Arabidopsis thaliana: one gene and its partners. The protein of the gene in region 1 interacts with the protein of each later gene in a pairwise test. Each region holds a gene or a part of one and is shown on either strand. Other genes may lie near its edges. The genes, in order: AT5G25940, ABCG16, AT2G23093 and AT1G15900.

The links.
Region 2: the proteins of AT5G25940 (region 1) and ABCG16 interact in a protein complementation assay, tested with the Arabidopsis thaliana proteins (one large-scale study listed by BioGRID).
Region 3: the proteins of AT5G25940 (region 1) and AT2G23093 interact in a protein complementation assay, tested with the Arabidopsis thaliana proteins (one large-scale study listed by BioGRID).
Region 4: the proteins of AT5G25940 (region 1) and AT1G15900 interact in a protein complementation assay, tested with the Arabidopsis thaliana proteins (one large-scale study listed by BioGRID).

What each region holds. Positions count from the first base shown.
Region 1 is NC_003076.8:9,053,618-9,056,984, reverse strand, and holds AT5G25940 (early nodulin-like protein), read left to right. Parts: upstream 1-1,729; 5' UTR 1,730-1,833; coding exon 1,834-1,939; intron 1,940-2,023; coding exon 2,024-2,085; intron 2,086-2,342; coding exon 2,343-2,418; exon of another isoform or gene 2,419-2,629; coding exon 2,630-2,733; 3' UTR 2,734-2,863; downstream 2,864-3,367. Other genes in the region: AT5G25930 (kinase family with leucine-rich repeat domain-containing protein), read right to left, coding at 3,007-3,367.
Region 2 is NC_003074.8:20,415,654-20,420,940, reverse strand, and holds ABCG16 (ABC-2 type transporter family protein), read left to right. Parts: upstream 1-2,030; 5' UTR 2,031-2,388; coding exon 2,389-4,599; 3' UTR 4,600-4,758; downstream 4,759-5,287. Other genes in the region: ABCG17 (ABC-2 type transporter family protein), read left to right, coding at 1-589; AT3G55080 (SET domain-containing protein), read left to right, coding at 5,111-5,227.
Region 3 is NC_003071.7:9,830,497-9,835,293, forward strand, and holds AT2G23093 (Major facilitator superfamily protein), read left to right. Parts: upstream 1-1,535; 5' UTR 1,536-1,696; coding exon 1,697-1,895; intron 1,896-2,052; coding exon 2,053-2,197; intron 2,198-2,275; coding exon 2,276-2,444; intron 2,445-2,536; coding exon 2,537-2,795; intron 2,796-2,872; coding exon 2,873-2,961; intron 2,962-3,159; coding exon 3,160-3,342; intron 3,343-3,435; coding exon 3,436-3,521; intron 3,522-3,624; coding exon 3,625-3,709; intron 3,710-3,785; coding exon 3,786-3,920; 3' UTR 3,921-4,243; downstream 4,244-4,797. Other genes in the region: P4H13 (2-oxoglutarate (2OG) and Fe(II)-dependent oxygenase superfamily protein), read right to left, coding at 4,270-4,353, 4,436-4,555, 4,633-4,698.
Region 4 is NC_003070.9:5,462,355-5,465,449, reverse strand, and holds AT1G15900 (uncharacterized protein), read right to left. Parts: upstream 1,178-3,095; 5' UTR 1,095-1,177; coding exon 753-1,094; 3' UTR 503-752; downstream 1-502. Other genes in the region: AT1G15890 (Disease resistance protein (CC-NBS-LRR class) family), read right to left, coding at 1,489-3,095.

The DNA of each region.
Region 1 (3,367 bases):
AGCTCTATAAGTAGTAGGAAAAATGTAATTAAGGATCCAAAATAATAATATTTATATTTTATTTGCAACCGAAAATTTTATAGACAACTCGCATTGAAAATGTTCTCAACTTGTTTTTATAGGAGGCAATACTTCTTGCGGTAGGGTTCAATTATATTGGTGCTCAATCAGGGAATTGTCCGATGCCATTTTCCAGTGGAATTTGATAGAAAATTTAAAATTAAGCATCAAAAAGTTGTCTGATGGCATTCATCGGAGTTGTCTTGAATCACCATTTTTCCGTTTCATCTCCTAACGTCTGTTTTTCACTTAAAAAGTCTCCAATTCCAGTATAACTTCGTAAAACTTGTACAAAACAACCGAAAAATACATTAAAAACGAACAAAAATGTGACAAACAACTCAAAACAAACACTAGACAAAGGACATAAGACACTAAAAACACAATATACCACATACAATTTTGGAGACACCCGCACACCGCTCTTCACCTCTTGGACTGTCAGTAACATTATGACATGACTATAGACATTACATTCACTTTCATGAAATTTACAACTACTCTTTGGATTTGGGTTGCAGAAAGATGCATACAGTAAAACAGCTCCATCAACCTCTTATGCTCATGTTTCATGCACATAAGTACTCAATTAGCCATAGGTGGAAGCTTAGACCCTGTTTCGACTTTCGAGTAGCTCGGATATATATGCATTATATCACATATCCCTTAGCACCATATTTTCTAATTTAATTTACAATATCACTCATTGCCACAAGTGTATAAAAACCATAGCAATAGAAGGGTATCAAAGTTCAAGTAACCAATTAAATTAGAACACTAGAAATACATTCTATCATCCAATCTAAGCAATCAAGTTAAATCATTAGAACAATATTGAACTACCGCCGAAGTAAGATCTCGTCTACCGGAGATATTGTCAGATTCTTGCCTCCGTTTTGTATTTGTTGTTTTGATTTGTAAAACTTTGGCTCAAGTCCAATTCAGGTATTATAATATTTTTAAAAAAAGAATATTGAACTATTAATAAAATCTTAACATTTTCTGTTGGTCCCTAGTACTTTTGATGGGCTCTCTATATCTTCGCTTTTGTATGTTTGAAGCATTAAGGCCGAATTCATTTAAAACTCAACTTCTATACCAAAAATTTTATTTTAAATTTTATGTAATTAAAATAAACTAACCAATTTTTTAAAAATTACTATTTTAATCACATATAAAATTAAGTTTTAATTTATCTTTCTATACAAAAATATCATCATTAATGAAATTAACTAATTTATTATATTTTTTTAATCATTTTTTCACTTATAAATTTTATCTAAAACTGAATCGATTAATTTCTTATATCTCTAAAGATATCCGTATGGTAACAAAATTGACTCCAAACATTTCTTAAGTCGATTTCTAAAACCGCTCCAAAAGACCATTGTGCATTAAAAATACTAAAAATCTAAAATTTAAAATATTCTCAATAACAAACATTTACGAACCACTGAATTTTATTTTATTTTAAAAATAATCTATAACATAATAATTGTTTTATCTGTTTTCTAACACAAATTATTCTAAATACATGATTGAAATACATTTCTAAATTGGCGTTTTATAGACTATAGTATTTTGACAACTTTGTTTTCAATATTGGCGTTTCATTATTTTGGTGAAAGATTCCCAACTTATAAAAAAAAAAAACGAATTTTTAATTTTCGTCCTAATCATTTATTTCCTAACCAAAGAAAAAGGCAAATCGCGACCCGTCTCTCTCTCTCTCTCTCTCCTTGAAATCGAAAGATCAAAAAAGCGACACTGAAAATGGAAAATCGGTCAGAAATGGGTAACCGGAGGCAGCAGAATCTCTTCGTCATAGCTTCTCCCGACGAGATTGCTAAGATCCATCGAGCCGAAACTTCCAAACAAGGTCTCTTCTTCTTTCTCCGTCTCTCTCTCTCTTTTTTCCCCTAAAAAAAATCTTTTAAATTGATGACTTTGGATTATGTTACAGCCGGAGCTATTGCCGGAGCTAAGGCCGCCGCCGTTGCCGCCGTCGCCAGTGCGATTCCCACAGTAATCATATAATCTCACTTATCTAAATTTTTTAAATTGAGATCTTAAATGAATTAAATGTAAGAGTTATGTTTCTTTGTTGTTGAATTTTAAGACAAAAGTGACTCACCAATCTCATGTTCTGTAATAATCAAGAGTTTCAATTTTGTTACCTATTCATTTTGTGATTTCTGAATACACCAAGTAGAGTCACATTCTTTTTGATGTGTATATAAGATATGAATTTGGTACATAAGCATGCCTTGTTTTCGTAACAGGTAGCTGCCGTTCGTATGTTCCCGTGGGCTAAGGCAAACCTCAACTACACTGCTCAAGCACTCATTATTTCTTCAGGTTAGCTCTATCAGCAATATGCCTTAAATCATTACTATATGTTCTTCCTGGAACTAAGTAGAAAAAAGATACTAGCTTTAACATTGTTGTAGAAACCTCGAACTTCCCTTTTGAACCTAGTTGAGTTTGGGGTTTTTAAGTATTCGTACATTCATTTCTCCACAATTTTCTTCTGATTTCTATCTTGTGATTATGGTGATCATTGGAACAGCTTCTATCGCTGCGTTCTTCATAACCGCGGATAAAACGATTCTACAAGGCGCAAGAAGAAACACCGAGGCTCAGTTAAAGAAAGTTCAGCAAGACTCTAAATAATTTCTCTTCTTATTGTAACACAAATCAATCATCATCTTTCTCTGTTTTGTATGCATATTTTGCCTTGATTCTTAATAAGAGTGTTATTATTATAAGGAATAACAAATTCTTTAAGACCATTTTTTATTCAGACTTTCAGATTTTGTTCTCAAATAAGTTACAAGCTGGTAGTTATACTCTTAACTAAAACTTTGCTTACACAAAAACTAAATGGTTTCTAATACATTTGTACATTTCACAAAAAAAACAACATCAAGTGTTGTGATTATTTGATTATACAAAACCTAAATCTTCATCTTCTACCCTTTTACTTGTCCTTCGACCCGATAAACTAACTAGTAGAGGTGCCTCATATGCCTCTGTTGCAGTCTTCTTCGTCGCCTCAAGTCCTTGTTGGCGCAGAACATACAAGACCTCTTTCATGGAAGGTCTATGACTAGGCAATGTGTTAGTACACATGAGACCTAGCTTGAAAACTGTTGTCATCGCCTCAGTCGTGGAAGCTTCTTTGATGTCCTCATCAAACGCCTCTGCGGTCGGTTTTCCAGATTGGTAATGTTTCCATGACCAATCTGCTAAGTTTGTGTGTTCATCTCCGTTGTTTCCTTCTCTTCCAGTCACCAGCTCTAGCAAA
Region 2 (5,287 bases), on another chromosome or scaffold:
AGGCTTTGCAGCGACCACGTTCTGGTTCGTTGGTCTAAACGGTGGTCTGGCAGGTTTTATCTACTATCTTATGATCATCTTCGCGTCCTTCTGGTCAGGATGCTCGTTTGTTACATTTGTCTCCGGTGTGATTCCAAACGTGATGATGAGTTACATGGTCACCTTTGGCTATCTCTCATACTGCCTCCTCTTCAGCGGATTCTACGTCAACCGTGATCGAATCCATCTTTATTGGATATGGATTCATTACATTTCTCTGCTAAAGTATCCCTACGAAGCTGTTCTGCACAACGAATTCGATGATCCCTCCCGTTGTTTCGTGAGAGGAAACCAAGTGTTTGATAATACAATAATGGAAGGAGTATCTGAAACGACAAAGGCTAAGCTTCTGGAGACAATGAGCGGTTACTTGGGGATGGAGTTAACGGAATCAACGTGTTTGACGACGGGCTCTGATTTGCTTAAGCAGCATGGAATTGAGCAGCTGGATAAATGGGGTTGCTTGTGGGTAACGTTAGCTTGGGGATTCTTCTTTAGGATCTTGTTTTATTTTTCGTTGTTGCTTGGAAGCAAGAATAAGAGGGCGTGAACGCCATAATGTAAATTTTTCCGAAACAGAAATTTTATTGTGAAAGCAAAATTGTCTTTTTGAATTTGAGATATTGATGATATATGTTGTATAATTATTATTTTTTTCTTTCATAGCTATCATATATTGTCTAAAGAAAGAATCGTACATCTAACATTTTACATGATGTTAGGTTCACAATTTTATAAAGGACTAAGATTTTAGTTTAATTCACAATTGGTAATGTTTTTAACTTAACAATATGAACTACATCAATAGTTTAAAGTTCAAACTAATATAAAGATACCACAAGCTACCAGTGAAGTAATTTAGTAGTTTTAATGTGCGTGTGAGCTATATGCCATCTTTCGTGGTCGGTGTAAACATAACGTATTTGACAAAATTCAAATTGCATCACTTTTTAAAAACAAAAGTATATACAACTAAACAGTTGGTCGAAAATAGAATTCAAAGTAGCCAACTTTCTTATAAGCTTTATTAGATGGTATTATAAATCTTTGACCCTTTTCTTATGGCGGTAAGGAAGACTACAGTAGGTAGAAGTTAGTCACCTAAACTTCAAAATGTCAACCAAAAAGATGTAACAGTGAAGTCAAAGTTTAGGATTGGAAATCCAAGAAGCTAAGCCAGTACGTCAATTTTGCTTTCATGTTACCATTGTGTCCATCACTAGAAGTTTGACCAAGTACTACTTAAGAGGAAGTTGCCTAACCTTTTGATCTGTTTCTTCTTTCCCTGGATGGATCAAAGACATCACTATTTTTACTTTCTTAACAAATAGTATTTGAAATGTGACACCATCTTTATGATTCTCGTGTAATTTTCGCATGCATGTTTAATTTTAGCAACAAACTTGACGATTTTTATTATATTTCTCTTAAACCACCACTCCACCCTTTACAAAACAAAAAGAATGTTTTATCAGCTTCTGTATACTGTGAATAAAACAGAGGAAACAAAGACCAAACACAATATTTGAGTTTGGTAAAGAATGTTCCACCGTTACCAACTAAATAATCAAGAAATAGAAAAAATGAACTTGGAGATTGTGTGTAGTCTTTCATAGCAAAAACAGGAGTTTATATTCCCAAACTAAATACAAATCTAGCTACTTTATCAAATATAACTTTTATATTATATTTGGTAGAATTAGTTGGGGTTCCGGAATTATTGCAATTTGCAACTTTTAGGCAGTTAGCAGCATAAGCAATCGTCTTCGGTCGCGAAAACAAAAGAAAATGTGAATAGTTTATCTAGGTACACATTTGCTTGCGATACAAACAATCACTATATCGCTACCAACATTCGAAGAATCTTTTAAAAACATTAATTAATTGACCAAACACTATGTGAAACGCAAGAAATATCTCATCTCAATCCTATATACTATCTATACCTCGGTTAGATCAACACCCTTCACCTAATTCTCCATTCTAATCGCCACGTGTCAGCCATTTCTACGTATTTTAGTATTATCACCTTGGAAAATCTAGATTTATTGGTCATCCCATTACCTCTCCCTAATTGAATACGAGAAATCCAAAACGCATTTTCCATCCAAACGCTAAGAATATTATTGTTAACAACACAAACCTAACAGATTTCTCATGATGATGCAACTCATTCAACACATAGAACCTTCGTGTTCACACGCTTCCACACGTTACTTCATATATATAAGGCCTATACACAGATACTAGCAAAACAGAGAACAAAGACTAACATTTTGATCATGCAAAGAGTGTTTTGATTTTCAAGTGTAAGCACATCATTTCTCACTTTACCATCTTTTGTTCTAAATGTCTCGCATACTAGTAGAAGATGATAATGCAACACCGTTTCATTCCATGGAGATTATTAGCTCATCTTTGACTTTAGGCCAACTTCTCAAGAACGTTAGCGACGTTCGTAAGGTTGAAGTTGGTGACGAAACTCCTGTTCATGAATTCTTTGACAGGGATGGTTCTTCACTTGACGGAGATAATGATCATCTTATGCGTCCTGTTCCTTTCGTTCTATCTTTCAACAACCTTACTTACAACGTCTCTGTTCGCCGGAAACTTGACTTTCACGACCTGGTTCCATGGAGGAGGACATCTTTCTCCAAGACCAAGACTCTTCTAGACAATATCTCCGGTGAGACTCGTGACGGAGAGATTCTTGCCGTTCTTGGAGCTAGCGGGTCAGGTAAATCCACTTTGATCGACGCTTTAGCGAATCGGATCGCTAAAGGAAGCTTGAAGGGCACGGTAACGCTTAACGGAGAAGCTCTTCAATCTCGGATGCTGAAAGTTATCTCAGCTTATGTAATGCAAGACGATCTTCTCTTCCCGATGCTTACTGTGGAAGAAACCTTAATGTTTGCAGCTGAGTTTCGATTACCAAGAAGCTTACCTAAATCCAAGAAGAAGCTTCGAGTTCAAGCCCTAATCGACCAGTTAGGGATAAGAAACGCTGCTAAAACAATCATTGGAGACGAAGGACACCGTGGAATCTCCGGTGGAGAAAGAAGGCGAGTTTCGATCGGAATCGATATCATCCACGACCCGATTGTTCTCTTCCTCGACGAACCTACTTCTGGTTTAGATTCCACAAGTGCTTTCATGGTGGTTAAAGTATTGAAGAGAATCGCAGAGAGTGGCAGTATCATTATAATGTCAATACATCAGCCAAGTCACAGAGTTCTCAGTTTACTTGATCGTCTTATCTTCTTGTCACGTGGACACACCGTCTTTAGTGGTTCTCCGGCGAGTCTACCGAGCTTTTTCGCCGGGTTCGGTAATCCGATACCGGAAAACGAGAATCAAACGGAGTTTGCACTCGATCTAATCAGAGAACTCGAAGGATCAGCTGGAGGAACAAGAGGATTAGTTGAATTCAACAAGAAATGGCAAGAGATGAAGAAACAGAGCAATCCTCAAACCCTAACTCCGCCGGCTTCTCCAAACCCAAATTTAACCTTGAAAGAAGCGATTTCCGCCAGCATAAGCAGAGGAAAACTAGTCTCCGGTGGCGGCGGTGGTTCCTCCGTCATAAACCACGGTGGCGGAACCTTAGCCGTCCCTGCATTCGCGAATCCGTTCTGGATCGAAATCAAAACTCTCACCAGACGCTCAATCCTCAACTCCCGACGACAACCGGAGCTACTCGGAATGCGATTAGCCACCGTAATCGTCACCGGATTCATCTTAGCCACCGTATTCTGGCGATTGGATAATTCACCAAAAGGAGTTCAAGAGCGGTTAGGGTTCTTCGCATTCGCAATGTCAACAATGTTCTACACTTGCGCCGATGCTCTTCCCGTGTTCCTCCAGGAACGTTACATCTTCATGAGAGAAACAGCTTACAACGCTTACCGGAGATCCTCCTACGTTCTCTCTCACGCCATTGTTACCTTCCCTTCGCTCATCTTCCTCTCTTTAGCTTTCGCAGTGACGACGTTTTGGGCTGTTGGGCTTGAAGGAGGCCTAATGGGCTTTTTATTCTACTGCTTAATCATCTTAGCCTCTTTCTGGTCCGGAAGCTCCTTCGTGACTTTCTTATCCGGCGTCGTTCCACATGTGATGTTAGGCTACACGATCGTTGTTGCTATTTTAGCTTACTTCTTGCTTTTCAGTGGCTTCTTCATCAACAGAGATCGAATCCCTCAGTATTGGATTTGGTTTCATTATCTTTCTCTGGTTAAGTATCCATACGAGGCGGTTCTTCAGAACGAGTTCTCGGATCCTACAGAATGTTTTGTGAGAGGTGTTCAGCTTTTCGACAACTCGCCTTTGGGAGAATTGACGTATGGGATGAAGCTGAGGCTTTTGGATTCTGTGAGCCGGTCGATAGGTATGAGGATATCGAGCTCTACGTGTTTAACGACGGGTGCTGATGTTCTGAAGCAGCAAGGAGTGACACAGCTTAGTAAATGGAACTGCTTGCTTATCACGGTAGGTTTCGGATTCCTATTTAGGATTTTGTTTTACTTGTGTTTGTTGCTTGGGAGCAAAAACAAGAGGAGGTGAAACTGAAACTACTGATGATACCTAAAACCAAAAACATATATTGTAATTCTTTTTCATTACTTGTAATTCGTAGATTGATTGTGTATTTGAATTGTATTCTTTTTAACATTTGTATTACTTTTGCCATCAATAAAAAAAATATCATTCTTTAGGAAATTGGAAATACAAAAAGCACCTATGAATCGCTTTTACTCAGAAAATTAATGCAACATTTCAAATAGAGGCATTGAGATTGTGGAAGAAAAATGAGGAGACACAGACACTGTTGCTAGAGGCAAGTAACTCTCAAAGCCATTTCACTTTGTAAGGTATCAAAAAGTCAAAATTGGAAGGCTATCTACAAAATCAATTAAAAACAAACCGATTTATCTGAAATTTAAAACCGAAACAAACCGGACCGAATCAGCATCAGAATATCGTCTGGTCCTGGCCGCTCTGCTCTAGCCGCAGTCGAAACACGAGTCCATAATACGAGCGGTGGTTGCTCACGCGCCATCCAGTTTGGCTGGAGATGCTATTCTGCATTTCGACAGTGAAGCTTTTCGGGTTTCAACAAAGGCGCAATGTTAGCTCTTTAGCCAAGCGTTTCAGTCTCGCCGGGAAACTAACGTTAGAGCTCCAAACTCAGGTTTGATTTGTGAAAGATTGAGACTTTCGTGAAATTTGTGAAATCAATGTGATGGACTGT
Region 3 (4,797 bases), on another chromosome or scaffold:
AATGGGCCTTCGGACTTATTATCCATTTAAGGCCCGTTAAAACAAGAACCTTTAACGTTTAAACGACTGAGGTTTTTTTTTTTTTTTTGGTCTGAATAAATCAGTTGACCAACACACAAATATGTTTTCAATCTAAACCAAGAAAAAGATTCTTTTTTGCTAATTGATAACCTGTACAGTTTATCTTATTCAAAGGAATTGAGACACTCACTCATTCATGCAAAATGATAGGATTAATATTATTCAGGGAGTGAGTGGTTTATATTGTTAACTTCTAAAAAAACTAAAACAAAACAGAATTTACAATTAAAAAATTAAAAATAAAGGAAAATTATTTTTTTGTTGTTTTAGGACAGACTCTAGTAAATGTCAATTTTATTAGGTCTCTATAAGCTATAACCTACACGATTTATCTTCTTCAAAAAAAATGAGTCACTCACTCACACAAAATATGACCGCTTTTTATTGATTGCACGAGCTAACTACTACCTTGTCTATTGAGTATAAGAGAGCAAATGATGGTATAGCAATGAACATCGAGATGATACTAAGAAAGATTGTCCGAAGAATCTCGATAGTAGTTCGAGCTATCAAACTTTAGAGGTTTAACTCACACTAACGCTCGTTTAGTAGACAACTCGTCAGTCAATTGATTTCACCCGGCGAATGAGTGGTTTCTATTGTTAACTTCTAGAAGAATTCATTTTGATTTTTTCTAGATGATTCCGTAATTTTGACATCTAACATATGATTTCATCATATTCTTTTCGGCCAAAACATGATTCAGAAATTTTAACATAAATTCAAATTGGGCAAAAAATCAAAATTTGGAAATGATTATTTTGTAATTTCTGTTTTAAATTATTATTGTGTTTTGATGCATATGCTATAAATTTTATCTCAAAATTATGGCTTCTTGAAATCTGGATTTGAGAATCTTGCATATTTCATGTTAAACCTTGAAAAATATGCAACATCATGAATCCTCATTATCCATTAGTTCTCATAAAATCTTATCTATTTTACTGAAATTTCCTAAGTATTTGAAAGAAAAACCTACAAAATCATAATTTTCATCAACATCATGATAATTTGGATTTCGCACCAAATTCGAATTATCTTGAAAATTGAACTCCATAATCTTCTAGTATTTCCATTGGTCTCACAAAATCGTTGTGGCCAAGATAATGTTTTAGGATCGAAGAGTAATTAAAAGAGCGATAAATATTTTCTTAAAAAGATCTAAGAGAGATTCAAATATCTAAAAAATCAATTTTTCATATTTGATATACATCTTTGGCGATTAGTTGCGTTGTGGTGAATTCAAACATCTAGAAACAACCAACGTTAAATCTTTGCTATGAACTTGAATTTTTTTGTTGCACACACATATAAGAAAGAAAAAAAAAAGACTAAAAAACATGTTCAAAAAAATGTGAAAGGCGATGTCAATGGTCAAGAAATATTATACAAAAACAAATTGTAACAAAATTTTGTGTAGCTTACTTCAACTTAAGACTATTTTTTGGGTGGGATAGTTATTGGGCCTTTTGGCCTGATAATAATATTGGGCTTCATTTCTTTTTGTGCACCACTTACATCAGTCAAGATCTCAAATTCTCTCCGACGTAATTGAGTTTTTTTGTTTGTTCTTTTACTTCTTTCTCCGGCTGATTTACCGGTGAATTTTGGATCGATGGGTGTCGTTATTGAGACCTTTATTTGGGAACCAAGCTCAAGCTTCTTCATCTTCTTCTTCGTTTCCACATTTTTATCGATATCTCTGTTTCCTTACTTGGCCAAAAACAGAACTTTTGGTAGCTTTGATCATTCTATTTCCTCTTCTTTCGCTCGGTTCCAGAGATGGTTTCTAGCTATCTACACTCTCTCTTCAGGTACATCATTAGATTTCTTCAGTTGGGTCTACAGATTTTTATCTGTATCTATGGTGCTTTCAATTTCTGGTTTCGAAAGCTTTCAACTTTTGCCTTTTCTCGTCTATCAAAATGGATCCTTTGCTACAATTTGAATTCTTTGATTGGAATGTGGCAGTGATGGAAGGTTTATTGTCAGTGTATGGAGAATTGGAGTTAACAACTTATGGCTTAAGTAAAGAATCAATGGTGTTTTATCTCTGTGTTGGTTATTCGACCGCTCTTGTTCTTGGTCCTGTACTTGGTGTGGTTTCTGATCTCATGTAAGTAGCTTTTAGTAAAATGTTGATCAAAGTGTTTTCATTTTGTGCTAGTAATGATAAATACCGAAACTTTTGTAGAGGTCAGAAGAAAATTTGTCTACTCTATTGTGTCTTGCACCTTATTGTTGGTGTGTGGAAGAGGATTACAATGAGTCCTAGTGCTTGGTTTGCAAATGTTTTTCTCTCCCTTGCTGGTCTTGTATATTCATTTGGGTTTGAGACTTGGCTTGTTGTGGAACATGAAAAGGTATATGGATTGGTCATTGCATTTGAGTTTTTATTATTAGATAATCAATGTTCTGATTTTGTAATGATGTTCTGTGTCTTGTATCTTTGTAGCAAAGTCAGAGGAATGACTCGTTAAATGAGACATTCTGGTTGATGACTTTTCTTGAGTCTGCATCTTTAATTGGAGGTCAAGTTCTTGCAAATTGGCTTGTGGGTGAAAATGTTCAGGATGGGATTGCATTATCTGCTACGGCGTCTCTGCTCTTGTCTGTTGTGACTATTATTTGTATTGTCCAGACTGCAAAAGAGCCGTTGAAGACCCTTCCGTTTAGGGATTATTCCACAGCTTTCTATGCGTATGTTCTTGGTGGTAAGATTTTGTCTTCATCTATTCAGTTAAAATTCCTGAAAGAGTATACGCTAATCTTAGCTTGTTAATGTGATCAGACAAAAGAATATGGTTTCTGGGAACTTCACAAGCCTGTCTTCAGTTTTCCACTGCAGTCTTTTGGATTCTGTGGGCACCAACAATAGTGGTATGATTAAGCTTCCTAATATAATATTTGCAGTTGCTTGAACCAAATTTTATATTTCAGAAATCAAATTAGCAATGATGGTTACTGTCATTTGATGTTTAGGACCTCCAGTGATTCCCTAATTGGCCTTTAGATGATAAAATTATTGGTATTTATTTCTCGACAATGGAATGATTAAAATGAGTTATGTTTGTTTAGGCTGATGGGCGTGAAGTGAATCTGGGATTGATATATCCATGTTTCTTGGGTTCAAGAATGCTTGGGAGTACTGTATTCCCATGGCTAATGAGTGGACAATCATTGCTCCGGCTTGAAGATTGCTTAGTCTACATATACGCACTACTTGGGATAGTGTTTTCTATAGTAGCCTATGATTATCAGGTAACTTATTTGCTTGTTTCACAAAAGTGTACCAGTGAAAAACTTATTTGCTTCATATGGAAGGCCTCACGCATAAAAGACCATATCCTGCAGGAAATCCGAATCTTAGTAGTACTTTTCTGCTTATTTCATGGCTTTGCTGGACTGGCACTTCCTTTGCTTGCAAGATTAAGAACAATGTAATGCTCTTATATATTTTTCCTTATTATTCATCAGAGACATTCTTTGTTAGTAGAAGAACCTTTCTTCTCTGTTGTAACGGACTGTTATCTTTATTTATAGGTATGTACCAAATGAATTGCGTGGAGGGATGATAAGCCTCTCTCAAGTTCCAGCCAATGCAGCTATTTTGTTTTTCTTAATCCAGGTTTGTGCTATCAAAAACACAATTGTTAACCTATTTTGCTTCTGTTTCTGTTACCTTACCGATCTTAATATTGCAGAGAGGCTACTCTAACAAGATCGAGAACTCAACAATGATGGCTCTTGGTGCCATTTCTTTATTCACTGCATCTGGTTGTATATATATGTTGAGACGATGGGGAAAGTCACCACACCATGATTGGCACAAATTATGATCCTGAGTAACTCGTGGTCTCTGGTTATGATACTTATGCGGAAGCAGGACAAGGCAAAACGAAGATAAATCTACTGGAAACTCAAGTTGGTCTATGATCTTGTGTTAATGGTCTCGCTTCGATTTTGTAGCAGCATGAAGTGAGGAAACACAAAACCTTGGAAGTTCAAAGATGCAATGAAAGCAGTATAAGAGGTTTGATTATTAGTTTAAGAGGATTCTATTATTTTAAATGATTGTTTGATTCATGTCTTATTAAGATCATCTCCTTTGGACCTTTTAGGCATTATTGTTTTACTAGTAAATATGAATGAAATTTTTACAAGTTACAAGTCAAATCTGAATTATCTTCAATCATATGTTTGGTCTCTTATCCATTTGGTGGCAACCCATTTCTCACCCTTGATAACAGGACAGCTTCCATGTAGAGATGTCTGCAACAACAAACCCAAAATTCTGAGAAAGATCAAACATTTTATGTCTTAAATGAGGTTTTTGATTGTCAGGAACACTAACTTGATCGATCGTTCCATTTGGAAACAAATTGTAGAAGAAAATGGCGTCTCCTTGTCGCGGCTTTACTTTCAGACCAACACACTTCTCATAATCATATCTTCCATTCATATTTCTCCCATTCTGCTTCCACAAAACCATTCTGTTTTACAACTCAAAATCCCAACCATGTTAAATCGAAAGAAAGAAACAATGATTACCTCGAATGGGAACATCGTCTCTCCACCTTCTTCGACACTCGATAAGAACAATAGGAAAGTCACGACCTGCATTCATATGTTGAGCCATGAGTGGAGGATCAACAGATGGTAGTTTTGAATCAACTTTAATAAAATCCGAAGCAAGAAAACGAAGTTAGGTTGCTT
Region 4 (3,095 bases), on another chromosome or scaffold:
GGGAAGACGGCGATGACCCAACGCTTGATGAAGAGTGGAGTATAGAGAGACAGTGAGGAGGATCCGAAGAAAATTTCTATGCCAATAAAACAAGAGTTAGGGAATAAAAAAAGCAATAAAGATGAAGAGGACTTGGAAATTGGAATTAATTTAAGAACAAAAAAAAAATGAATTAGGATTCAGAAAAAATAAATGCGCCAATAGAAGGAGAGTTAGGAAAAAGCAATATTAAAGATAACGACTAAAAACACATTGATGAAAGAAAAAGAAAAAGAAAAAAAATCATGTTTGACTCATGTTTGACCAAAATTCATTTTGGTCTTGGTCTTGGACATCATAATCTTTTCAATTTTGTTGGTTTTCAAATTTTGATGTGATGTTTCAAGCAGGCCAAATGTTTCTCTCCTTGATCTTCACAATGAATGAGCAAATGGCGAAAACGAATATTTGATATTGAGCCTAAACACTGAACTAATTCAAAATTTCAGATTTCATGAATCATATACTTTAGCAGCAATAATCTGAGTACAGTTTTATTCAAAACTGATTTACTTGAATCAACAATACTCTCATAAACTGTTTGTTGCATGTTTTCATTTCAACAAGTAAAATCAAAGGAGACTGATTACCAAAATTTTGTGATGATCAAACTTTTGATAAAAATTGCGAGATTATCCGTGGATACAACACTGACAAGCTTCAACGGAATATTTTCTACTGTGAATCGAATCGGCAGCAATAAGAAAGAAGATTCAAATCGGAAGGATGGGTCGGGTACGTGATCTTCGAGATTTCCAGAGGAGGAGAACCAAAGCAGCTATCACAACTCCAATGGCGTCCGCGACGGCGTCTCTAACGGAAGCACCTGCGGAAGGGAAGATACCAATTTGATCGGCAGCTTCTTTAGCCGCACCGGCGGCGAGTGAGAAAGCAGATCCGATCCAGATGGAGTGACGGCGTAGAAAGGAGTAGCGGGAGAAAGAGGCGAGAGTAGAGAAGATAAGAGAGATTGAGAAGCAGAATATTACATGGTATAGTTTGTCTCGAGCTAGCCAAGGATCTTCTCCATCGCCGCCATGAAATTGCGTCTCCATCTAGTGTTCTTACTGGAAGGCTAAAAACGGTTTTCCGCGTTACAAAGATTAGGAAACCTTTTAAAGTAATAAACTCAGAGAGATTAGAGTAAAGAGAGAATGATAACGCACTTGGAATTTTTTGAACTTATTAGACAAAAACAAAATACAAGTGAAAACTGAAAAAGGAAATAGTCTTTCAAAACTTTGAAAACAAGTTAATCGGGAACAAAAGCAGTGCACAAACAGAAACCAAATCAAGAAGTGAAAGGATATAGTCAAACAGAGAGTGTCAAATCAAGCAAGAATGAGGGAGATAGAAAAGCAGTACATCTGCGATCTGCGATAGCTTCATTCTCCAAAACTAGTACATAAGCCAGAAACCATCAGCTAGCACCGGAGCACCGTCCTCCCATTATTCATTGGCATGTCGCGGAAACTCAGTGGCAGCTTCCGGTAGCTTAAGGCAGCTTCGTACATCAAATTGTCTCAGGTTTGGAAGAGCCGGGGGATTCCAGCAGATTCTCTTTAACTCATCCAAACCCCTTACTTCAAGGAATTCCAGCTTCCCAAACGGAACAACGATATTTGGATGCACATTGGTAATACTCATTCCTTTCTCCTTGTTTATTATCTCTTCTATGGTTAATGACAGCGTCACAGATAGACGCCTGAGGTTTTGAGCAAACAACAGCCATGTTAAATCCCTTGGACCTTCCAAATTGAATATTTCAACAACAGAGAGGTGCTTAAAGCCAGGAGAACTTGTACATTTAAGCTCCCCTCTTCCTTTTCTTTCCCAATCTATCTTTATCTCTGAGATTTTGGAGCCCACGATTTCAAGGTGTTGAAGACCACCCAGAGCTACCGTGTTCAATATTATAACCGGTGCTGACATATTTCTGAGACATAAAGCTTGAATACTACTCACCAATCGGTCCACTCCTTGTATACTTTCCAAAATCAAGGCGTCCTTTATAGTTGCTGTTAAAACCTTCAAGTGCTCCAAGAGTAGTAACTCTTCCATTAAACTGCCATCAATACAAACACGAGAAGAAAACAATTTCAACACTTGCAGGTTTGGTAGGCTTGTAGCTATCCCAACAATACTTTCAAGTTCATCAGTAAACTCCAGATTCAAATGGATTAATTTCTTCAACTCCTTAAAACTAACTGGCAACCATTTTATCCCTGTTGTTGATAAGTTGATATATTGCAAGGAACCTAACTTAGAAATTGCTTCCGGCAAGCTAGAGAGACTCGAGTTCCTCGAAAGATCCAAGACCACGAGTGCTGGCATAAACCTAAAAAAGTCACATGATATATGCACCAACTTGTTATTCTGGAGTAATAGAGTTGAGAGGTTGGGAGAGTTGGAACTAGAAGATATATTTGCAATCTGATTGCACATCAAAGACATCCTTCTCAAACTTTCCCAATTGATGTCCTTTGGTATATGGCATAACTGCACACCGGGTTTCACACAAAGTGTTTCTTTCTGTTTTCCAAAGTTCGACGCTATCCAAAGAGCCATCTCGCGTATGACATCATGCATTTTCACTTTTGTTGTTAGTTCACCATCCATCAATAGATGTGCACGAACTAACGAGCCAATTATGTCATGACCTTTGTTGTTAGCTCCATCTTCATCTTCATTCCCATCTATAAATCCTTCACACATCCAATATTCTATCAACTCTTCCTTTCTTACTTCATAATCTTCCGGAAACAGGGAACAATAAAGGAAGCACAATTTGACTTTTTCATCTTTTAAATCATCATAACTGAACTTCAAAACAGGAAGAATTTTTTCTTCCATACTTGGGAACTCGTGGCTAGACGAGTTCAGAACATGAATCACATGCTGCCATTCCTGAACAGTCTCTCTAGATGCCATAGCTTTGCCAATGACACTGAGTGCAAGTGGCAAGCCACAACATTTTTCTGCTACTTTTCTTGCAAGTGTGGGAATATCCTCATGGCTCTGTAATGGGATTGGTCCAACTTTCTTTTGGAACAGTT